2 linked regions of the Alligator mississippiensis genome follow. The protein of the gene in region 1 interacts with the protein of each later gene in a pairwise test. Links are inferred from orthologs where the notes say so. Each region holds a gene or a part of one and is shown on either strand. Other genes may lie near its edges.

Region 1 (10,124 bases):
CAGGCTCAGAGGGCTTATGCTATCTCTAAGAGCTGAGACCAGAAGGGCCAACGAGAGCATGTCAAGGTCATGTTGACAAAAACTTCTGACCTTTCTAAAATGCCTCTTTGCATCTGCTCTCTGTCCGAGTCAGCAGGGGATGGCCCAAAGGCTTAGTCCACATCGCACCATGGGAGCAGCCATGACCTGTCCCCGTGACTCTCAAGGCACCTATCTAAGAAGGGAGAAGTTATGAAGCCATCCCTGCCTCCACCCTTTGAACAAGGAAATCTCTAGGGACACCTATTCTGTTCGAAACCTCAGCAAGCTGTGGCCAGCAGGACGGGGCTTTCCCAAACCCCAGCATAGAGTTGGAGCCATTTCCTGAAGGTGGGGGGCTGGCAATCCCCTTGACGCAACCAGCAGCCAGGAGTTACCTGAAGTGATGTGCTCCTGCTTGAGGCCCAGCAGCTCCGTCAGAATCCCCACGCACTGTTCTGTGTACGTCCTGGCAATGCTGCCTGAAAGAGCGCCACAGGGAACAAGCCAAGTTCTGGTCAGAGACATAGACCCCGGTGTTCAGGCTACAAGCTTCCTCTCAAGCAAAACACTTGGATCTGAATATACTTGTGCCTGACATTAGTCAGCAGGCTCTAGTCCTCACTTGGGCTAAAAAAAAAAAAAGCTCTTGGGAAAACCCTGCACTTCTGTCCAAAACAGCTGAGAGAAAAGACAGGGATGGAAAAGGGAAGCTTATCCTTTGTTGTAACGAAGGCATTTTACCTTAAAACCTTCAAACGCAAAAACAGGGTCCCTGCAAACCCCCCTTACCTCTGTCCCCACAGCACCACCCAGAAGACAACCAGACAGTGAAAGAGAAGCCCACAAGGCCACCACGCCAACTGACTGGGAATGAAGTAGTTTGTGGTTGCCAATACAATCCATCGCCACGCACCTTCAGCACCCAGCTTCCCAGGGTGGGAAAAGGCACGCAGGCATTCCAGGGGCGCCCCCGGTTCAGAAAGGCTCCACACAGCCTGTGCTGAGGACCATGCCCATGTTTCTGGGAGATCTGGCTCGTTCTGGGTTCGGTGCTGGGACACAGCTCCAGCACACAGCACTCATTTGCTGCTGGCCCAGGCTCACCTCAGCTACAGGCGACCCATCTTTCTGAGAGACTTGAGCAAGGTCTCAGCTGCTCCAGAGACAAGAGAGGACTCTTACCTATGGCAAAGATGGCCCCTTGGGCAAGTTCAACAGACACATCAGTGCAGTAGCCCTTCAGCTCCTCCAGCACCTGCTGCACGTTCTCATCGTTCACCAGTTCACACAACACCTCCATCTTCTGGCATTTGATATAGTGGGGCTCTGAGTAGGAACAGAAGAACTTCTTGTAATGGCTGCTGAAGTGGCCAGGGAGGCTTCCGAGAATCTGCCGCACGTGGCACAGGGCGGTGAAGCAGAGCTCCCGGCTCTCAGAAGTGCAGGCAGCCAATAGCGGCCCCTTCACCCTCACCAACACGTCCGTCTGCACGTGTGGGTACTCGCTGGCCAGCACCAGGAAGAGCTTGGTGGCTGCCATCACAACGCTGGGACTGCTGCTCTTGAGATACCCATCCAGCAAGTTGAGGATGTTGAAGAGCTCCTCATCGCTCCGGGGCGTGTAGCGCAGAAGAAAGGCCAGCACCTCGCTCTGCCCCCACTGGTCTAGGTCAGCCATTCTGCCAAGGAAAGAGCACAGTAAACAGTCTGTGGCAGATGAGGGCAGCACAAAATCATGTGAAGTCATACAGTGAAATGAGGGTCACCCCAGGACAGCTCAGGGGCTGCAACTGCTGCTTCTGCGATGGTTTCAGTTCAAGGTCAGGTGCCAGAATTGCAGAAGAAGATGCTAAGTTTGTCTCTCAAAAGGAGCTAACTAACTTACACAGGTCGCAGATGAACTCCCCCCCTCCCTGTTTATTTGTTCCTTCCCCCAGGCAATGTGCCAGAAAGAAACCTTGATGGGGTCCCAGGGCAGCACAACAGGGAAGAAATGCCACTCTCTCTTTCCACTGCTAGTTTTGCAACTAGGACTTCAGGCCTGAGGGCCTGTGTGAGGAGAAGCTAATTCCTCCAGGCAGTGGATATGACTTCCACCACTTTACACGCACGGGGATGTAAATGTGACGGACAGGTTAGGATGCAGGAGGTCTCAGAGATGCAGCCTGTGTGCTGTCAAGGAAGACAGAAGCTTCCTATAAAAAAATGCTGCTCTCTAGTACGATTTATAACGACCAACAGCTGGTCACAAATTTGTCCTGGACTTGGCAGCCAAAGGTTCCCTGTGTCACTAGCATGGCAGGGCATGGTCTCATATTTCACGTGTGATCTTAGCTTCAGCTTACCCTGGTCCCTTCTAGAATGGGCACCTATGTGCTTCTGCTCCCAGCTATCTCCCACGCTGAACCTCCCCGAGCTGACAGGAACAGGGTGCACCTGTTCTCTGATGTAGCAAACGCAAGACAATCCCACTACGGCGAGACTCCCAGCTTTGCACAAGTCTGAGGGAGAACAAACCTGTTGAGGAGGTGATGGGCGATGGGCTTATTGATGACGACTCCTCCCTCCTGCCTCAGAATCTCCTCCAGAGCCCGCAGGCAGTTCACCACTACGATGGGATCTGGGTCACGAAGCAAACTGTACAGCTCGTTCACCAGCGCACCATCTGCAAAGAAGCCACGGTGAGGACGGCACAGACCTGACCGCTGGGTCCGTTGGGGTGATTTAGCCACAGCCCACAAACAGAAGGGCCATAACAAATGGCTTGGGAATGGAGAATAACAACATCTGCAACCCCATCTGGCTTTCTAGTAGCATCTATGTATGACACAGCCTCGCCCTACCGAGCCCACCATCACGCGGATCACAGAGCCCATCAGGTGCCAGAGGCTGCAGCTCAGATGTAACACAAAGAACGGCAGAGGAGAAGAGCTCCAGGCTAGTAAAGACAAAAAACATGAAAGGACCGTTCCTTCAGGAAACTCGCTCTGCCAGCCTGAGCTGCAGGAAAGGCCCGAGAAGAAAAGCCTTTTAAGAATCTGCCTTTGGTTCACAGATAGCTTGTCTGTCCTGCCTGGGATCTAAGGTCAAAACACAGGCCAGACGGGAGGCCCTGACTCCTTGTCTGAAGTATGGGAACAGGCTGCACGTTCCTGAAGGACTAAGTGCCGCTCTCCCTGCCCAGCACATGCGACGATCATGCATCACCGCGAGCACTCGAGCGAGGCTGACAGCTTCACAAGAGCGGTAAGAGCTTCCTACTTGCGTGGGTGTTTACCAAACAAAGCTGGACCCCGGTGTTGTCTAGGAACTGTTTTAGCTCCACAGTCTAGCTCCCTTTCAAGTTGTTTTGCTCTCTTACGACTCTCCCAGGTTTAGGTTATTTTGTCACGCAATCTAAGCTGTTGGGGCCTTTGTCGGAAAAAGACAACGCAGCCAGGAATAAACACGTAACAAACGGGGAGTTGAAACAAGCCAACAGGGAAACCCTCCAGGCTTACCCACTTCGGAGTCCCCTTGGAGGCTCTGCATCTTCGCGCAGCCGAGAACCGCTACCCTGCGCACGTAGGACGCTTTGTCCCGCAGGCCGTTCAGAAGGGGCTGCCGGATGTACTCCTGTATGCCGGGCACCCTGGGGACCAACGCACAAGGCACGGTGGGGCTCACCCTGGATCCCACGAGCTGCTCCGGGGCACATGAGCCTGCTTGCACGGCAGGGCCCGGGCTGCTCTCAGGGAGCCAAGCAGAGGACACCCCACCCCTGCAGCTCATGGCACCCGTCACAGGGGCTCTGGCCCGGGGCCGGCCTTGCATCGCCCAGCCCCGCGCGCCCGCCCACCCGCCCTCCGCCTTGAGCAGCCACACGCGCAGAGAGCGCCCACCCCTGCACACAGGTGCTGCGTTACCTGGGGGCACACGCGGACACACACACGTGCGCTCGGGGACACGCGTGAACATGTGCACGCCCGGGACAGGCAGGAGCATATGCACTCACCCACGCGCGCTCAAGGACACGTATGAAATGCACACACCTGAGGCACATACCCACGCACACTCAAGGACACGCATGAACATGCGCATGGACAAGCACTCACACACACCTGCGGGCAAGCGTGAACACGCACACGCGGCGGTGGGGAGGATGAGCACACGCACCTGAGCGCGCAGAGCCCGCGCAGCGCCAGCCCGCGCAGCAGGGGGCTGGGGTGCGCGCAGTCGGTGCGCAGCGTGTTGACGGCCAGCAGCGCGAGCTCGGGCTGCCCCCGCGCGTGGGCGCCCACGTACAGCTGCGCCAGACGCTTCTGCGCCGGGTCCGGGGCCGCGCGGGCGCGCAGCAGCTCCGGGAACAGCGGCGACACGTCCGCGCCGCGCGCCATCAGCCTGCGGGACACGGGGGGGGGGGGGTCAGCTCGCAGCGCCCCGCACCCGGGCCGGCCCCGCGCCGCGCCGCGCCTCCCCGCCTCGCCTCACCGCACGGCGCGCAGCACTGCGCCGCGGTAGCGCAGCCGGTCCGCCTGCACGTGCGGGTTGGCCAGCACCCGCTTCAGCTCGCGCACCGCCTCGTCCGAGCCCAGGTACGGCATCGCGCCGTCGTTCCGCTCCAGAGTGAACGACCCGGCGCCGCCCCCTCCGGCTCAGCCGCCACCGCCACACTGCGCAGGCGCGTCCCCTCCCGCGCAGGCGCACTACGCCCGGCGCCGCCCCGCTCCTCTCAGCGGCCTGCGCCTGCGCCACGCAGCCTTGGCCGGAAGCTGAGCGCGGCCCCTCCCTGCGCCTGCCCGCCGCGCATGCGCTGCGCGGCCTTGGCGGGAAGCGGAAGCGGAAGCGGGGGCGGACAGGCACGTGGCGCGGCTTGACAGCCATGAGTGGGACGCTGCTGGACGAGCCGCCCGTGGCCGTGGACCTATGGGGCCGCCGCAGGACGCGCGGCGCCCGCCTCTTCTTCCTCACGCACCTGCACGCGGACCACACGGCCGGGCTGACCCGCAATTGGCGCCGCCCGCTGTTCTGCTCCCCTCTCACGGGCCACCTGCTGCGCCTTCGCCTGCAGGTACCGCCCGGCCCATCCCCCACCCCCGGCCCGGCCCGGCCTTCATCGGCCCGGCCTTCCTTCCCTCCCTCCTTCCCCCCAGGTGGACGCGTGCTGGATCCGGCCGCTGGAGGTGGGGCAGAGCCATGTCGTGATCCTGGACGAGCGGGCCCAGCGCACCATGACGGTGACGCCCATCGACGCCGACCACTGCCCCGGCTCCGTCATGTTCCTCTTTGAGGGGGACTTCGGGGTCGTGCTCTACACAGGTACCGGGTCTGGGGTCTCGGGGCGGCCCAGCCTCTCCCTCGCACCCAGTGCCGAGGGCCTGTGAGACGGCAGGGAGTATCGCCGCACCCCTTCACACGTCCCCCGCGGGAGATGGGAGAACTGGGGCGGGGCGGCGAGCGGAGGAGTGGCCGGGGGCCTTTCTCATGAGGAGACGGTCAAGGCTCAGTGCAGGGAAGAGATGCTGGAGGGGGCAGGAGAAAGGTTTATGATGCAGAAAACGGCAACGAGAAAGTCCACAGGGGTTGGTCATCGACTCTCCCCACGAGGAGGGGCTGCCATGTGAAACATGCCCGTCATCCGTTTAAAGCCAACCCCGAGAAGCTCCTTCTCACGCAGCGTGTTGTGAAAGGCCAGGTGTGGTCTGACGAGGAGGCTGCGCTCCTCAGTCACCTGCTCAATGGCCGCTGAGGCCCCTTTCCTCCAAGGTGTCCAGTCCCTTTGCGAACCTGGCTGCACGGTCAGCTTTCACCACACCCGGCAGCCACGAGTCCCGTTCCCCCCACCCCCTTAATGACACTTCCTGCCTTCACTGCCTGCTCCAGGCCTGCACCTTTGGCAGTGGCTGCTAGGGCTGACACTGCTGTCCCTTGTAGAAATGTGAGTCGCTCACCAGGAGTTCAGCCCACATCACTTCCGTGATGTCCTAGAAAAAAGCACCCAAGCAGTCGGGCTCCTACTGCTTCCGTGTCCTGGAAGCTGGGGACCTCCCCTGAGTTTCGGAGCCTGCAACGTGGAGCAGTAACCGCTAGGTGGGCCCCGTTGCTCCCGGTGTCCCCAGATCCTGTGTTTCTGCCTTGCAAACTGGTGCTGCTTTGCTTCTTGCCAGGTGATTTTCGCTACACTCCGGCAATGCTGAAGGAACCAGTCCTAATGAACCAAAAACAAATTGACGTTCTTTACTTGGACAACACATACTGTGACCCGGCGCTGGTCCTGCCTTCCAGGGAGCAGGCCACCGAACAAATAAAAGAGCTGATCAAGGCCCACCCTAAGTACCACGTCAAGATTGGTGAGCCAGACTTCTTGGTAGCTTGGCATATGGCAGGGTGTGAACTGCAGCCAGTGCCCCAATTGGAGTTGTGGTGAATGCCTAACCAGGACCGGATGATACTGTGCGAGGGGTGGCTGGGTTGTGCCCTTTGCTGTGTCTGGCTTGTGCATTCATTGGCCTGGATGATGCAAACGATGTGTATTTCTGCTAATCAGAGTGCAGATTTGAGTCTGCTTCACTTCTGGTGTCTGAAGTGCTGCAGGTGTGAGGCTGTGGAATAATCTTGAGGTTTTTGGAGGGCGCAGAGAGCAATTGTTTTTCTTCCTCTTCGTACAAAGTACGCGTCAGTTCTTCAGGGCATTGCTTGTGTTGTCTTATGTGCTGTCTCTCTCTAATTTCCCCTTGTGGGTAGGCACCTTTCTCTGGAGTCTTACAGCTATTTTCTCCCTGCCCTGGTCACCTTCCCCAGGCACTGTCTTTGCCTTGACAAAATACTTCTGAGTCTCTAAAAGTTGCTAAGCTGTTCTGTTTTTTCTTTGCCAGGTATCTACACTCTGGGGAAGGAGTCACTCCTAACTGAGTTGTCCCTGACGTTTAACACCTGGATCGTGGTGAGCCCCGAGAGGCTGGCTGTGTTGGAGCTGTTGGATAAGCACCATCCGTTCACCACTTGGGAAGATTCTGGCTGGATCCATGTGGTGGAGCCCTCGGAAATCCGCTGGAAGTCTGTGCGCTACTGGAACCAGCAGCACCCCACGATTGCCATTCTCCCCACTGGGCGCCCGCTGAAGAAAACCCATCCCAATATGCACATCATTCCCTATTCTGACCACTCGTCCTTCTCGGAGCTGTGTGAATTTGTCCAGTGGCTGAAACCCTGCTCAGTCATCCCGATAGTCAAGAGCATGGCGTGTCAAGCTTACTTGGAGAAGTACCTGAACCCTAACCGTGAGCTGTTTCCTGTCCCCAGCGTCCTACAGTCTTGGAAGGATGTCACACCACTGACAGATAGCAGGAGAGAGGAAAGGCTTAGGCAGCTGCTGAAAATTACCATACCTGCACGGCAACCTGGGCCGCTAGGGGTCATCTTCGAGTCCCTAGAGGAATGCCCTGACACGTCCAAGAGCTCAGGAGCTGTGCAGAGTCACGAGTTGAAGACCTCTGGGGATGTGGAAGTTTACCAGCAAAATTCTGAGGAAATTGAGTGGGCTGGTACAAGTTGTCAGGGAGACTGCGTTTGCTGCCCTTGGTGTTGCACGGAAAGAAAGGAAATGGAAAAGACTTGCAGCAGTGACGGTGCCCAGGGACAGCTTCTCTCAGCACAGTCTCCTTCATCAGCACCTGCCAAAGAACAGCTGGTAAGACCACTGGGCACCAGTGTTGAAGAAGGGAAATCAGGCTTAGTAGAGTCACATGGGAGTCCTTTATCCAAGAACACTGAGACTGAGGGGACTTGGTTGAACAAGGAGCCTGACACTCCTTTGTGCCATGTTATCCCATGCCCACCTAGGTGGGTATACTATGCCCCTTTACAGTTTGTACCTGCTCAGAAGGCAGATACTCCCTCTTGCAAGCAGAGTTCACCCTCCTCAAAGGGAGAGGAATTTCTTCCCGTAGAGGCGGCTGGTGACAGTAGCAGCCTGCCCAGCTTGTCACCTGTGTCGAGCGAACAAGTTACACCTAGCCTTGCAGAAGGGTGTTCGCTCGTGCCGTTAAATACACTCGAGCAATATTCCTCACAGAGCTTTGACCAACTGGTGGAAAACTACTTGAGGAAGGGAGAAGGGCCCTAAGAAATGGCCTGCCCGTCAGCACCAGCTGTCTAGTTATGTCACATGGCACACAAGAGTCCTGTCATCATGTCTGCCTTCTGCAGTCTGCTGACGGGGTGGCTTTTGAACGTTTTGTTTTGTTTAGGAGGGTAAGGGGCATTGAGCAGCAGCCTAGATACCTTGTTTATGAATGTGTTTATCTTGTGGTTATTGGCCTCGGTATTTGGGGGTAGATTCTAAGTAATGGGCTGTGACCCTGTGCGTTTCCCAGGGCTCTAGACTGGCACTCAGACTAGCACGCTTGATTACAGGAACATGTTCTGTACTTGTTGCACCTTCCATGCAAACCTGATGTCATTTCAGGGCAGAGGGGGTTGGAATAGCCCCTACCCATTCTCAAATGAGCAGTAGGGGGACATGAGCTATCCAGGACAGACCCTGGTATCAGGGTTTCTGTGGGATGAGGGAAAGAGTCTCCTGAGTAAAAGCAAACTGAGATGGGGGTGTAAGTCCCAGATCATTATCTTGCTGCTGGTTTGAATTTCTAGCTGCTAGCCAACATCCTTCCAAGATGTATTGGGGGGAGTTTGTGTGTTAGCCTGTTTACAAGGTTAAGAAGTTAATTTAAAGAAATAATGAAAATGAAGAGCTTTCAGGCCTCTGTGCGATCATGGAGAAAACCGTGTCAGAAAACACTAGTGTGGCAAGCTGCTTCAGCTGGCCACCGAGTAGTACTTCTGCCCTCCTGCTGACAGCATGCTGATGCCAGCTGTAAATCCTTCCTTCTGGGATAGCAGGAATTCTGTGACTTGCAAAGGGCAAGGCTTCCCGTGTCCTGTTCTCTGGAATCTGTGCTTATTTCTAGGCTGTTGTTCCTTGTTCCTTGGCTGTAAAAAGCCTCCAACTCAGGAACAGTCAGGCATTATCATCTAGCCAGGCCACAGCCATAGGACCTGAGGGGTGTGAATTCCAGGCCCCTTGACAGGGTTAATGTAAGCCAGGGAACCTGTTTCTCCTTAATTGCCATTTGCGTTGGCTGTTTCCCCAATGGAGGCGAGCAGACACCAAAAAGATCATTTGGTGGCTGTTATTTTTCTGTTAAGATGGATCATGCTTAAAGGTATTGCCCACTCTCTGGTTTGATGGTGAGGCTAATTAGGTCTCGTACTTCCCTTGACATGGGATTTGGGGAGATGCATTCACCTGAGCTTAAGGTGATCCCATTTCTGTTGCCTTAACTTGGACCTGCACAAAATTTGGCCTGCTGCTGTGTTGGGGTCATGGGAGAGGGGTGGGAAATGTTGAAGTTCTGTGGGGGGGTCTTAGTCCAAACAGGTTAGGGGTCAGTTCCAGGCTCTCCTGTGGGGAAGAGAGCATTACCCCTATCCCACACTGGGCTTAGTTTAAGTCCAGTTGTTCGCAAGTCTTTGTATAATCATGGGTACAAGTAAAATGACAGTCTTCCCAAGTGGAAAATGACTGTGTTGTGAGAGGCTGTCGGGGCACGGATGCACGCAGCTGAGTTCTGAGGCACAAGAAGCCAGATCACTTCAGCCCGTAGTTCTGTTTGGTTGGCTGTTGACATGCACAAGGAGGCTGTAGCCTAGATGCTCCCTCCTTAATGGCCATAAATGCCTCACTTGAATTTTTATTTGCCTTCTGAAAGTGTTGTTGGTACAAAACTTAATAAAGTTTGTTCTGTTCACAAAGCAAGTTCTGCGTTCCCATGCTTCTCTTCTAACCAAAAGTCTCTCAGATAACCTTTGACTGTGATGGAACGAAGAGGCACGCTCCTTTTCTTTGCACTGGAGAGAAAAAGCAGTGCTTGTGCATGGTGCCCCCACAGGGGTGCCCAGCACAGAGCCATGGTCCCTGCAGTGTAGCTTACATGCCTGGGTCCACGAGCTCTAATATGAAGCCAGAGCTTGCATTAACAGCCGCATGCTGGTTGTACTTACCTCTGTGCCTTGCTGTGGGATCAGGCATTGAGCCCAGTACAAACCCCCATGCTGCTGAAATT
Region 2 (10,123 bases), on another chromosome or scaffold:
GAGCAGGGGCTGTGGGTCAGGAGTGAGGGGTATTGTCTGGGGAGCCTGGACACCTGGGTTCACTGTCCTGTCATGCCTCTTCCAGGCATCTCCACGATGCAGGAGGATGATGAGTCTGAAGCCACGTCTGTGTCTTCAGGAGAAAGCAGCCCCCCAACACCCTCGGCTAACGGGTACCCAGGTATGGGGCCCATGGGCTCAGATGCCTGGGTTCCCTCCCTGCTTCAGGGGGGGTCGGGATGCACCCAGGTCCCTTCGAGGGGTGTAAGCCCAAGGGGGGCAGCTTGGTTGCCTGGGTTCCCAGCGTGTGCCCCCTTCCGCAGGTCCGCGGAGCAAGGTGGCAGGCGAGGCGCCCACAGACATGGGCGCAGATGCAGGCGAGGAGCGGCTGGGCGCCCCCAGCCCCGAATGGCATGAGTGCCCTGAGTGTGGCCGTGGCTTCGGCACCTCACGGGCCCTGAAGGTGCATCGCAGCTACCACGTGGGGCGCAAGCGGCCGCACGGCACCGCCCCCTCACCGAAGCCCCCTGGTGTGGCACGGCCGGCACCCCCTCTTCCCTCGCTCAGTGATGCCGACACCCGCCCAGCCCCGCGCCCTGGCGCCTTCCACTACATCTGCGCCGAGTGTGGCCTGGGCTTTGCCTCCCCGGCGTCGCTTGAGGCCCACCGCTGTGAGCACGGCTGGCGCCGCAGCCCTCCTGCCCCACCCCTGCCCCCCTCCCTGGCTCCCCGCAGCGCCAAGGCCCCCCCACCACCACTGCCCCCCCGCCAGGCGAACGGGGCCCCCCCGCCCCCACCCCCGCCCCCGGAGCCTGAGGGGGCTGATGGACCATACCAGTGCACCGAGTGCCCAGGAGAGTTTGGCCTGGTCTCCGACCTGCACGAGCACTACATGCTGCACGCCCGTGGAGAGCTGTAGCCCTGTCTCCTGCTGCTGGCACTTCCCTTTCCATTGAACCCACCCCCACTGTGCACCCTTCGACAGTGCTGGGGGGCCCCCTGTGGAGGGGGGTTGAGACCAGAGCCAGCTCGGGTCACAGGTGGGGGCAGGAGAGAAGGCCTCTCCCTCCCCAATTTCCTATAGTCCAGGGAAAGGGGAGGGGGGGGTCCCTCCAGGTGGCGGGGGATGTCAGCCCCGTCATGAATATGAACGAGCTCATTAAGCTGCTGGGGTTGAGGGGGAGGGGGCGGGGGGAGGAAGTTGTTTAATAAAAGTCCTTGCATATGAGCCAATGGGGCATCTCTCTCGCGCCGACAGAAGGGAATTGTGGGTCATGGCTGGTGGGTGGGGTTCTAGTCCTGTGGTCGTCCCCCCACCTGCAAATCAACACACTGTGACTTGCTAGCTTGTTACAGGGAGATGATGTTGTAGTGGTGACTGTGAAGTCACACCAATGATGTCATGGGCTGCTCATGTTACCTCCCCTAACCTTGCTTTGGTGGGGGGGGGGCTGTGGCTGGTGACCTCAGGGGCAGTACTGCTGTGGGAAACCCTCTAGAGCAAGAACTATAAGCCCTGGAATGCACTGGGGCAGCCCCCAGAACCATAGCTTCCAGCATGTAGTATGGTAGCCCCTGCTGAACTACAGTTCCCAGCATGCACTAGGGCAACCCCCCCAGAATATAGCTCCCAGCATGGTCTAGGGCAGCCCCCAGAACTACAGCTCCCGGGATGCATTATGAGACGGTATTTTCCTCTTAGGACTACAGCTCCCAGCATACACTGTGGCAGGGTACTCCTCTGACTTGGCTTTCCCTCCCTACTGGGTTAAAAACTACACCTCCCATCATGCCGCTGGGCAAGGGGGGGCAGGGCCTCACTCCCACAGCAGCATACTGCCCACTGCTGGCTGTCCTGCTCTGCCTGGCCTCTGGCTCAGGTTCAGGTCCTATTGCCCCTAGGGAATACCCCCCCTCCCCCCAGCTGTAGCACTGTTGGCCATGAATTTCACAGCACCACACCAGGACCAGTAGAGAAGAGTGGGGCTCCATGCCCACCACCCCCCTCCAATTCCAGTGCTCATGGGTTTGCAGGGACAGGAGCAGGGTTTACACCAAGAAAGTCTCTGGGGCTGGGACTGACATCTCTCCCCACCCAGTCCCACGGTGCCGGCAGAGGCATGCGGACACAACTCCCAGCTGCCAACTAGGAACCTCCCTAGACCCCAGCATAGCATTGGGGTGACCTCCAGTGCAAACTCCAGGCAGGCAGGAGACAATGACACCTGCAGCCACGGATCATCTTTATTCTTTTTCTCCATATGAAAAATAAGAACCTTTCACTCCTGCCAAAGCTGCGGGGGCTGCAGGTTGTCAACCCCCCCAACTTCCCAGGGACCCTCCCCTGTGGGGGGATATGCTCCCCTACCTGCCCCTGACACGTGTTGCTCTGAGACCATCTGAAACCCCAGAACTGGGGAGGGGTCTGGCCATATAAATAGCACCCAAGGCTCAGACATGGAGGGGGCCAGGGAACGGGGAGGTCTCCCCCATGTCTCCCATGTGCCCCAACAGACATCTGCAAAGTCCCAGCCCCCACTCCTAAGGGAAACCCCCCTACTTTCTCCCTTCCTGTCCCCCCTCCCTGAGGACAGCAGCTGTACAGAGAGGACCCCCCCTTCTCTTTCCGGCCAGCAGGGGTGGGGGCTAGAGCTCGCCACGTGCATGGCGGATGTAGTGTTCATGAAGGCCAGCCTCGTGGGCGAAGCTCTGGCCACACTCTGTGCAGGCGTAGGCTCGGGTAGGCAGCAGCTCCAGCGGGCGCTGGTGTGAGGCCTGGTGGCGCCGGAGGTTCGAGAGCTGCCGGAAGCTCTTGCCACAGTCGGGGCAGGGGTGGGGGAGGCCGCGGGGGGTAGGGGTGGCGGTAGTGGGGCCTAGGCGTGGGCGCAGCGCGGGGCCCAAGCGGCGCCCGCAGTCAGGGCACTGGTGGGCCAGGCGGTGGCAGGAAGGGCAGGGAGCCGGGGGGGGCGCGTGGCCGCGCTGGTGCCCGATGAGGGCACGGGAGCTGTCGAAGGCCCGGCCGCAGATGAAGCAGACGAAGACGGTGCCACGCAGGTTTTCCTGCACGAAGTCCTCAGGGTGCTCCCGCTTCATGTGCCGCTCCTTGAACTTCTCATCCGGGAAGGTGATGAAGCAGTGGAAGCACTGGTTGGAGCCCAGACCATCTAGGGAGGGGGGCAGGGGGTCAGGGCGCGGGACCCCCCCCCGTCCCCCTCCCCCCGGGCTCCCGCAGTACTCACAGAGCGACGAGGCCACCGAGGCTTTGGGTTCATCCTCCTCCTCCTCCGCGCAGGCGGGGCCGGGCGGCGGGGTACGGACCGGGGAGCGCTCCCGTGGGGCCAATGGAACGGCTCCACATGGCGATGCTGAGCCCACATCAGACATGGCCGTGCTTGCAGGGAGGGGGCACAGATGCAGTGAAGTGAGCGGGGGGGGGGGGGGGGGGGTCAGCAGGATGGAGGCTACCCCCTGCCCTCCTCACAGTGGGGGGGTCCCCGCTCCTCCCCCATTGCTCCCCTCCCTGTGGACCCTGCCCAACCTGCCAACCATCCCCCTGACAAGGAGCCAAATTCCTCCCCACCCTATAGCCCCCCCAACCTTGCCCTGTGTTCCAACCCCCTCAGGGAGCTTCCCCATTTGCCCAACCCCATTAAAAACCCCCAAGACCAATCCCCCACCAAGGAGCACCATCTTTCCTCACCCCATGCCCCCCCAACCTCCCTCCCTTGAGAGCTCCCACATTCCTCCCCACCTCATAGACCCCCCAGCCTGTCCCAAACTCCACCCCCCCAGGGATCTCCCCCCACCCCATGCCCCGCTAACCTGCCCCATGCTGCCCACCCCACCCCATGGACCCCCACCTACCAACCCCCCACAGGAAGCTCCATCTGCCCCCCCAACCTACCCCAAGATAGGAGCGGGGATCCTCCACCCCGCACTCCCCTGCCCCCACAAGGAGCCTCCTCCCCCTAGCCGCTCCTTTCCCCACAACCCCCCACCCTCCATTGACCCCCCCATCTCCCAGTGCCCCCCAGAACCCTCTTCCCCCTCCCCAATAACAAAGGGGTCCCCTGACTCCACCATGTACCCGCTCCCTCTCCCCCGCGGCGCCCTCCTCCCATGTGACCCGTAGACCGAGCCCCCCATATATCTCACCTCTCTCCTCTCCTCTCTCTCCCTGCTTTCCCCTCCCCCGTTTTCATCTCTTACTTCCTGTTTCCGGTGCCTGCCCCAGCCAGAATCCCGCCCTATTTCCGGCGGGGCTGCCCAAACCAGCCCCTGAGCGGAAAAGAAAATCAGTCATCCCGGTTCTAGAGGCTCTGCGGCCTCTGGCCGGTCCCGCCGGCTTTGTCCCAGCGCAGGGGTCCCTCCCGGTGCTGTGAGTGAGTTGGCTGCGCCCCTCACGCGTGGAAACGTCGCCGCTCCTAATCAGGCACCTCTGTGGCTACCTCACAGACGTGGAGTGGCCACTGGGCAGCCCTTTACCGCAGGCTGCATCCAGTAACGCGTGCGCACAACTAGACAGACGCTGCACCTGACTAGAGGCGAGGATTGTGCGCACGCGCCGCAGGCTGCCAGTAATGGCGGACTCCAGACAGGATCGTACGCGTGCGCCCTGGCGCTGCCCTGGTTCCCAGCGCATGCGCGATGCAGCCTCAGTCTTGCTAGCTGGTCTCAGGCCGCCTGCAGGGGGTGCCACGTGCCCCACCACCGTGATCCCAGGTTGCACCGCGGTGGCTGTCTCCTAGTTGCCTTTGAGTGTGGCCCCTTGGGGCAGGGAGACCCCAGATCCCCATTATACACTGGGCACAGAGCCCCCAGCTTCCCTTCTTTCCAAGCATACGCTGGGGCACAGACCTTCCTCCCACCCAGTTCAAGTTTCCATGCACTGGGGTGCAAAGAGTGCTGTCCCACAATGCACTGCAACCACCTGCCGCATCCAAGGGACCACGAAATGAGGTGGCAGCCACAAGTGGAAGCAAAACATTTATTTCAACAGACAGAAGCAGCTCTGGGGCTCTGCAGAGGCCACAGGCAGGGGCCACAGGGGGGCACATGCAGCAGACCCCCACGGCCCATAGGCAGGACACAGACACGTGTGGGTGCAAGACCCTGGGACGGGATCGGCGTGACCCCTGAGACATAAAGGAACGCTGTTGTGTTGTTGGACGAGGGGAACCACCCCAGAGCCAGCAGCATCCTAGGCCCTGTTACACCCAGCCCTGATGCCCACCCCAGAGCCAGCTGCATCCGACCTGGGTCCTGCCCCTACCCCAGGGTGCAGGCCCGCAGCAGCACACGCTCAGCATCAAGGGCCATCTCGACTGCCGCCTGGCTCAGCAGGTGGTAGGCTGCCTCCAGTGTCACCTGGGGCTGGGGCACGGACGGGCTGCCCCAGAAGGGCACATAGCTCCAGAGCCGGGCAGCCAGGGACGGTGATGGTGCCATAGCCTCCAGCACCATGCTGGGCTGCACCATCTGTGCCCAGGGGCACCTGATCTGGGCCTGCAGTTCCCGGAGCTCCAGCTTGGCAGCCATAGCCATACGAGTGAGGGAGGCCTCATCCAGCCCGAAGGTGGCTGCGCTGGCCTGGAGGGCTGTAGCCAGGCCATGCCCAGCATCCTCCATGGGGCGCAGGCAGACATGTAGTGCCTGGCGCCAGGCCTCAGCCAGCACCTGGCGCCGCTCCCTGCGCACCAGGCGCCCAATAATGACTGGCAGTGCTGCTCGCTGAAGCCCTGCAGCCTCCTCGGCCAGTGCCTGCCGCAGCCGGCCCAGCTCAAAAGCCTGGGGCTCATGGGAGGACAACAGGAATACGCGGGTCTCAGCTAGGCCTTCCTGCACCAGCTGCTCCCTCAGGCCCACAGAGCCGGTGGGGTCACGTAGGTCCACATCCACCTGTGTCCGGGCCATGATGAGGGCCCGGCCAGCAGCAACGGCTGCCCGGGCCAGGCGGATGAAGGGCTCGCGGTACACGTTGGAGGTCGTGAGCAACAGCAGGTCATAGCGGCTTGGGTCCACGGTGCCTGCATCCGACAGGTCCCACAGGGTGAGGCCGGGAGCACCAGGCAGCGTGTGGATGCCAGGGGCATTGCCGCACAGTGCAGCGATGAGGGAGGTATGGCCTGAGCCGGGCTCACCCACCACGGCCACATCCACGGGCAGCTGGGAGGCATCAGCCAGTGCAGCGCGGAGCAGGCCAGGGGCCTCGGCCAGGCTGCCCCCAGCGCAGACCTCAGTCAGTGCCCGCAGCGTCCGCTCCCGCACAGCTGGCAGCTCCTCCAGCAGGTCCCCAGGGTCAAGCCTGCAGCGGGAGGGAGGCAGGGGCTAGGACCCAGGCATCTGGGTTCCCAGGTCCCACTGCTTTCACCCACCAGAGCCTACTCCTCCATTTGGAGAACCCAGGTGTCCAGGCCCCCAGCCCCCACTGCTCCCCCCTCAGAAAACCCAGGCATTCAGCCCCGGTCACTCACATGGGCAGCTGCAGCACCTCACGCACCAGCGCATCCTCGAGCCAGGCAAAGTCGAAGCGGTCAGGCTCCAGTGTGGACACGGCAGCAATGCCAAGGGGTTTGAGACCAGCCCGGGCCAGTGGCTCTGACACCTGGGCCCGGAGCTGGGGTAGCAGCCGGGCTATGGTGTGGCCGCGCCGCTTGGCTGTGTGCAGCGCCAGGTCAGCACCTGTCCGCACCACCAGGCAAGGCAGCGCCCGCGCCCGCGCCTGCACTGCCCGCACCATCGCCACATCATTGCCACCCGGTGGCCCCGGCAGCACCAGCACCAGGCAGGCAAAGGGTGCCAGGCCCAGCAGCTGCGTTACGTAGGCCTCAGGCACCTCATCGGGCCCCAGCCCAGGCAGGTCCCAGAGCACGGCGCTGGGCAGCGCAGGTGGCACGTGGGGTGTGGGCGGCACCGGAGTGAGTGGTGGTGGCTGGAAGAAGGCATGAGGGTCATGGAGCCGGGGCGGGGAGCCCAGCAGGGCCTGCACCAGGCTGGAGGTGCCGGCGCGGCAGGGGCCCAGCACTGCCACGTGCACCTGCAGCCCCTTGGCCGCCCCCTCCAGCGCCCGCAGCTGCCCCGGTGCCACCGCAGGGTCCTGGGCTGCCAGGAGGGCCTCGGTCTCGGCCAGGAAGGAGCGGGGCAGGACGGGGGGTGCCGTCATGGCAGCAGGGGCGGACACCTGGGTTCTCGGGGCTGAGCTGGAGTGCGGAGTGGGGTGGACGCCTGGGCTCCCTGGAAGGGGGGGCTGGGAGCCGGACGCCTGGGTGGGGGGGGCGGACGCCCGGGGGGGCGGGGGGCCGGGGGCCGGAGGCCTGGGCTCCCTGGAAGGGAGGTGCCTGGGGTGCCCCGGACGCCTGTGTCCTAGGGGCGGCGCTGTCCCCGGTGCTGCCGCCGTCCGTCTCCGCTTCCTTCCGCCGAGAAGCGAAACCTCCGGCACCGCCTCCGCCTCCGCCTCCGCCCGGGCCCATTAGCTGCTCGGGGCCGAGACGCGCAGCCGCGGGGCCGGGACACGGGACACGGCCGCGGGGACACACGGCCTCGGGAGCGGCCCTGGCGAAGGGTGGGCACCGCGAACCCCCCGTCCCCCGTGTCCGTGTGTCCGCCCCCCCACCTCTGCCCCTCCACCCCGGGGCCCCTCTCTCCCTCCCTCTGTCCGGCCCCAGGGGGCCCTCCGAGGCCCCGTCTCCCCATCCACTCCCTCCCTCTATCCGCACGTGGGAACCCAGGCGTCCGAGCCGCTCCCCCACCCGCCCGCATTAGGGGAATCCAAGGGTCCAAGCCCCCCCCAGTATGGGGTATCCAGGCGTCCGCGCCCCCCCACATCCTGATCTAGCCACTAGCCGCGTGTATCTCTCTCCGTCCGTCCGTCCTCCATCCACCCCCACGTCCATCTGTCCGTCCACCGACCCGGCTTCCCGTCGCCTACCCCTGCGTTGCATTCAACCAGCCACTTACCTACACCTCCATCCACCCACCCATCTGTCCGCCCATCCACCCCTCTACCTACCTACCTACCCATCCAGCCGTCCGTCCATCCATCCATCCACCCCCTATATACCTATCTGTCCATTGGTCAATCCATCCTTCTACCAGCCTACTCATGTCTGTCCATCCATCCAACCATCCCCCTCTTTATCCATCCATCTGCCTTTCCATCCATCCATCCATCCATCCCCACAAGTGTCTGTCTGTCCACCTACCTATTTGTCTATCCCTCTATCTGTTCTCCTATTCCATCCAGCCTCCTGTAGATAGACAGAGGGATGGGTGGATGGAAGGATAAGTAGGTAGGTAGGTGGGTAGACAGACAAACAGACGGAGGGAGAGATGATAGAGGAGTGCCAGGATATGTAGGCGTGTAGGTACTAGATAGATAGATAGATAGATAGATAGATAGATAGATAGATAGATAGATAGATAGATAGATAGGGGGAGGAATAAATGGGGATAGAAAGGGGGTGGATGGTTGGGCAGGTGGACAGAGGGATGGCTATGTAGATACATGAAGGGATAAAGGAGAGCATCTAATCTCTCCCTCTGTCCGTCCCTCCATCCACCTTTCTACCTACCCCCCCCACCCAACCATCCTTCTATCCATCTCTCTATCCATCCACCCATCTCTCTGTCCATCCATTCATCCCCCTGCCCCCCCCCCCCGGTGGGTGCTGGGCATTTGCAGGAACTGGCCTGCAGGTAGGGGGGCATCAGGGCCCCAATCCTGGGGGGCTGCTGCCCTGGGGTCCCCTCACCCCCACACTCTCTCCCGCAGCCCCCACCATGGCGCAGCCACCCACTGCAGATGTTGCGGAGCTGGCTGAAGTCTCAGTGCTGGTGCTGGGGGTGCCAGGCTGCGGCAAGACAGCATTGATCAATGCAGCGCGGGGACTGGCACCCACTGACCCCCATGCTGCCCCTCTGGAGGTCCCACCTGCCCCGGGGCCCCCTGAGCTGCACCCCGACCCCACGCAGCCCAGCCTGCTGCTGTGGGAGCGGGCACTGGTGCCGGGTGCCGAGGCCTGGCTGGCTGAGGCCGATGTGGTGGTGGTGGCCAGTGCCGCGCTCTTTGGGCCGCAGGAGGTGGCAGTGGCTGCAGCAGCACGGGAGGCCGGGAAGACCGTGATCTTTGTACGCACCCAGGCGGACCTGGCACTGCACACACTACGGCGCCTGCTGGGTGGTGGGTGTGAGGCCCGTGAGGCTGCACTGGGAGCCTTGCGGCAGGCCTGCACCCACGCCCTGCACAGCCTGGGGGTCCCTGCATCCCCTGCGCTCTTCCTCATCTGCAGCCTCCAGCCCCATGGCCTGGACACGCCGCAGCTGCGTGCCACCTTGCTCGACGAGGCCCAGCACTGCCAGAGGTACCTGGAAGGGCTGTTGAGGGGGGGAGGGGAGTGTCTCTGGGGTGGGGGGGGGCTTCTGCCACAGAGGCAGGGGCCGGGAAGGGGGAACAGCCCCATGTCCCATCATATTCTGTCTCCACCAGACTCCCCCAGTGTCCCACCCTCTCCAGCACCCCAGATCCCCTCATGTCCCACCCTTTTCAGCCCCTGTCCCATCCTATCCAGCCCCCCCCCAATCCCCACAGCTCCCTCCCCTGAGGCCATGCCCCCTCCCCCCACAGGCTGCTGCGCCGGGTGCTGTGTGACTTTGAGGTGATTGGGGTGCGGGAAGCGGCTGAGCTCCAAGAGGCCTTTGAACTGGGTGGGCTGGAAGCTGTGGTGGCATGGCTAGAGCGGGGGCTGGCAGCGCATTGGGCCACGCGGCTGGCCATAGCTGTGGTGGGGCCACCAGGTACCAGCACACAGCCCCTGCTCAATGTGCTGCGCGGCTTGGCTGATGATGACCCCCAGGCCGCCCCTGCTGGCACCCCAGTGCCACAGCCCACGGCCTACCCCTGCCCTGCGCAGCCCGGTGTGGTGCTCTGGGACCTGCCCACGTCCGCACCGGACACCCTTACCACCTACGACATCATCCTCATCCTTGCCACTGCGGCCTTTGGCAACAGCCACATGGAGCTGGGCCGTGTCGCGGGCAAGCATGGCTACTTCATCCGTGCTGCAGAGGTGCTGGAGGAGGAGGAGGCTGCAGCACTGCGCCAGGCGAGCCAGGAGGAGCTGGCGGC

The links.
Region 2: the proteins of AP4B1 (region 1) and ZNF576 interact in binary tests that used the Homo sapiens proteins (3 or more experiments, as listed by UniProt). The two-hybrid records come from large-scale screens. The link is inferred for Alligator mississippiensis from reciprocal best matches to the Homo sapiens genes AP4B1 and ZNF576.

The regions. Positions count from the first base shown.
Region 1 is NC_081837.1:45,362,356-45,372,479, reverse strand, and holds the start of AP4B1 (AP-4 complex subunit beta-1), read right to left. Parts: upstream 4,694-10,124; 5' UTR 4,605-4,693; coding exon 4,492-4,604; intron 4,402-4,491; coding exon 4,177-4,401; intron 3,653-4,176; coding exon 3,522-3,652; intron 2,687-3,521; coding exon 2,539-2,686; intron 1,701-2,538; coding exon 1,204-1,700; intron 501-1,203; coding exon 417-500; intron 1-416. Other genes in the region: DCLRE1B (5' exonuclease Apollo), read left to right, coding at 4,883-5,071, 5,154-5,319, 6,168-6,350, 6,876-8,125.
Region 2 is NC_081838.1:30,898,749-30,908,871, forward strand, and holds ZNF576 (zinc finger protein 576), read right to left. Parts: upstream 4,572-10,123; 5' UTR 4,405-4,571; exon of another isoform or gene 4,279-4,404; 5' UTR 4,203-4,278; coding exon 4,156-4,202; intron 3,392-4,155; coding exon 3,240-3,391; intron 3,165-3,239; coding exon 2,647-3,164; 3' UTR 2,231-2,646; downstream 1-2,230. Other genes in the region: zinc finger protein 48, read left to right, coding at 86-181, 324-919; uncharacterized protein LOC109283767, read right to left, coding at 5,269-6,304, 6,474-7,162; interferon-inducible GTPase 5, read left to right, coding at 8,779-9,359, 9,623-10,123. UniProt on the Homo sapiens protein: May be involved in transcriptional regulation.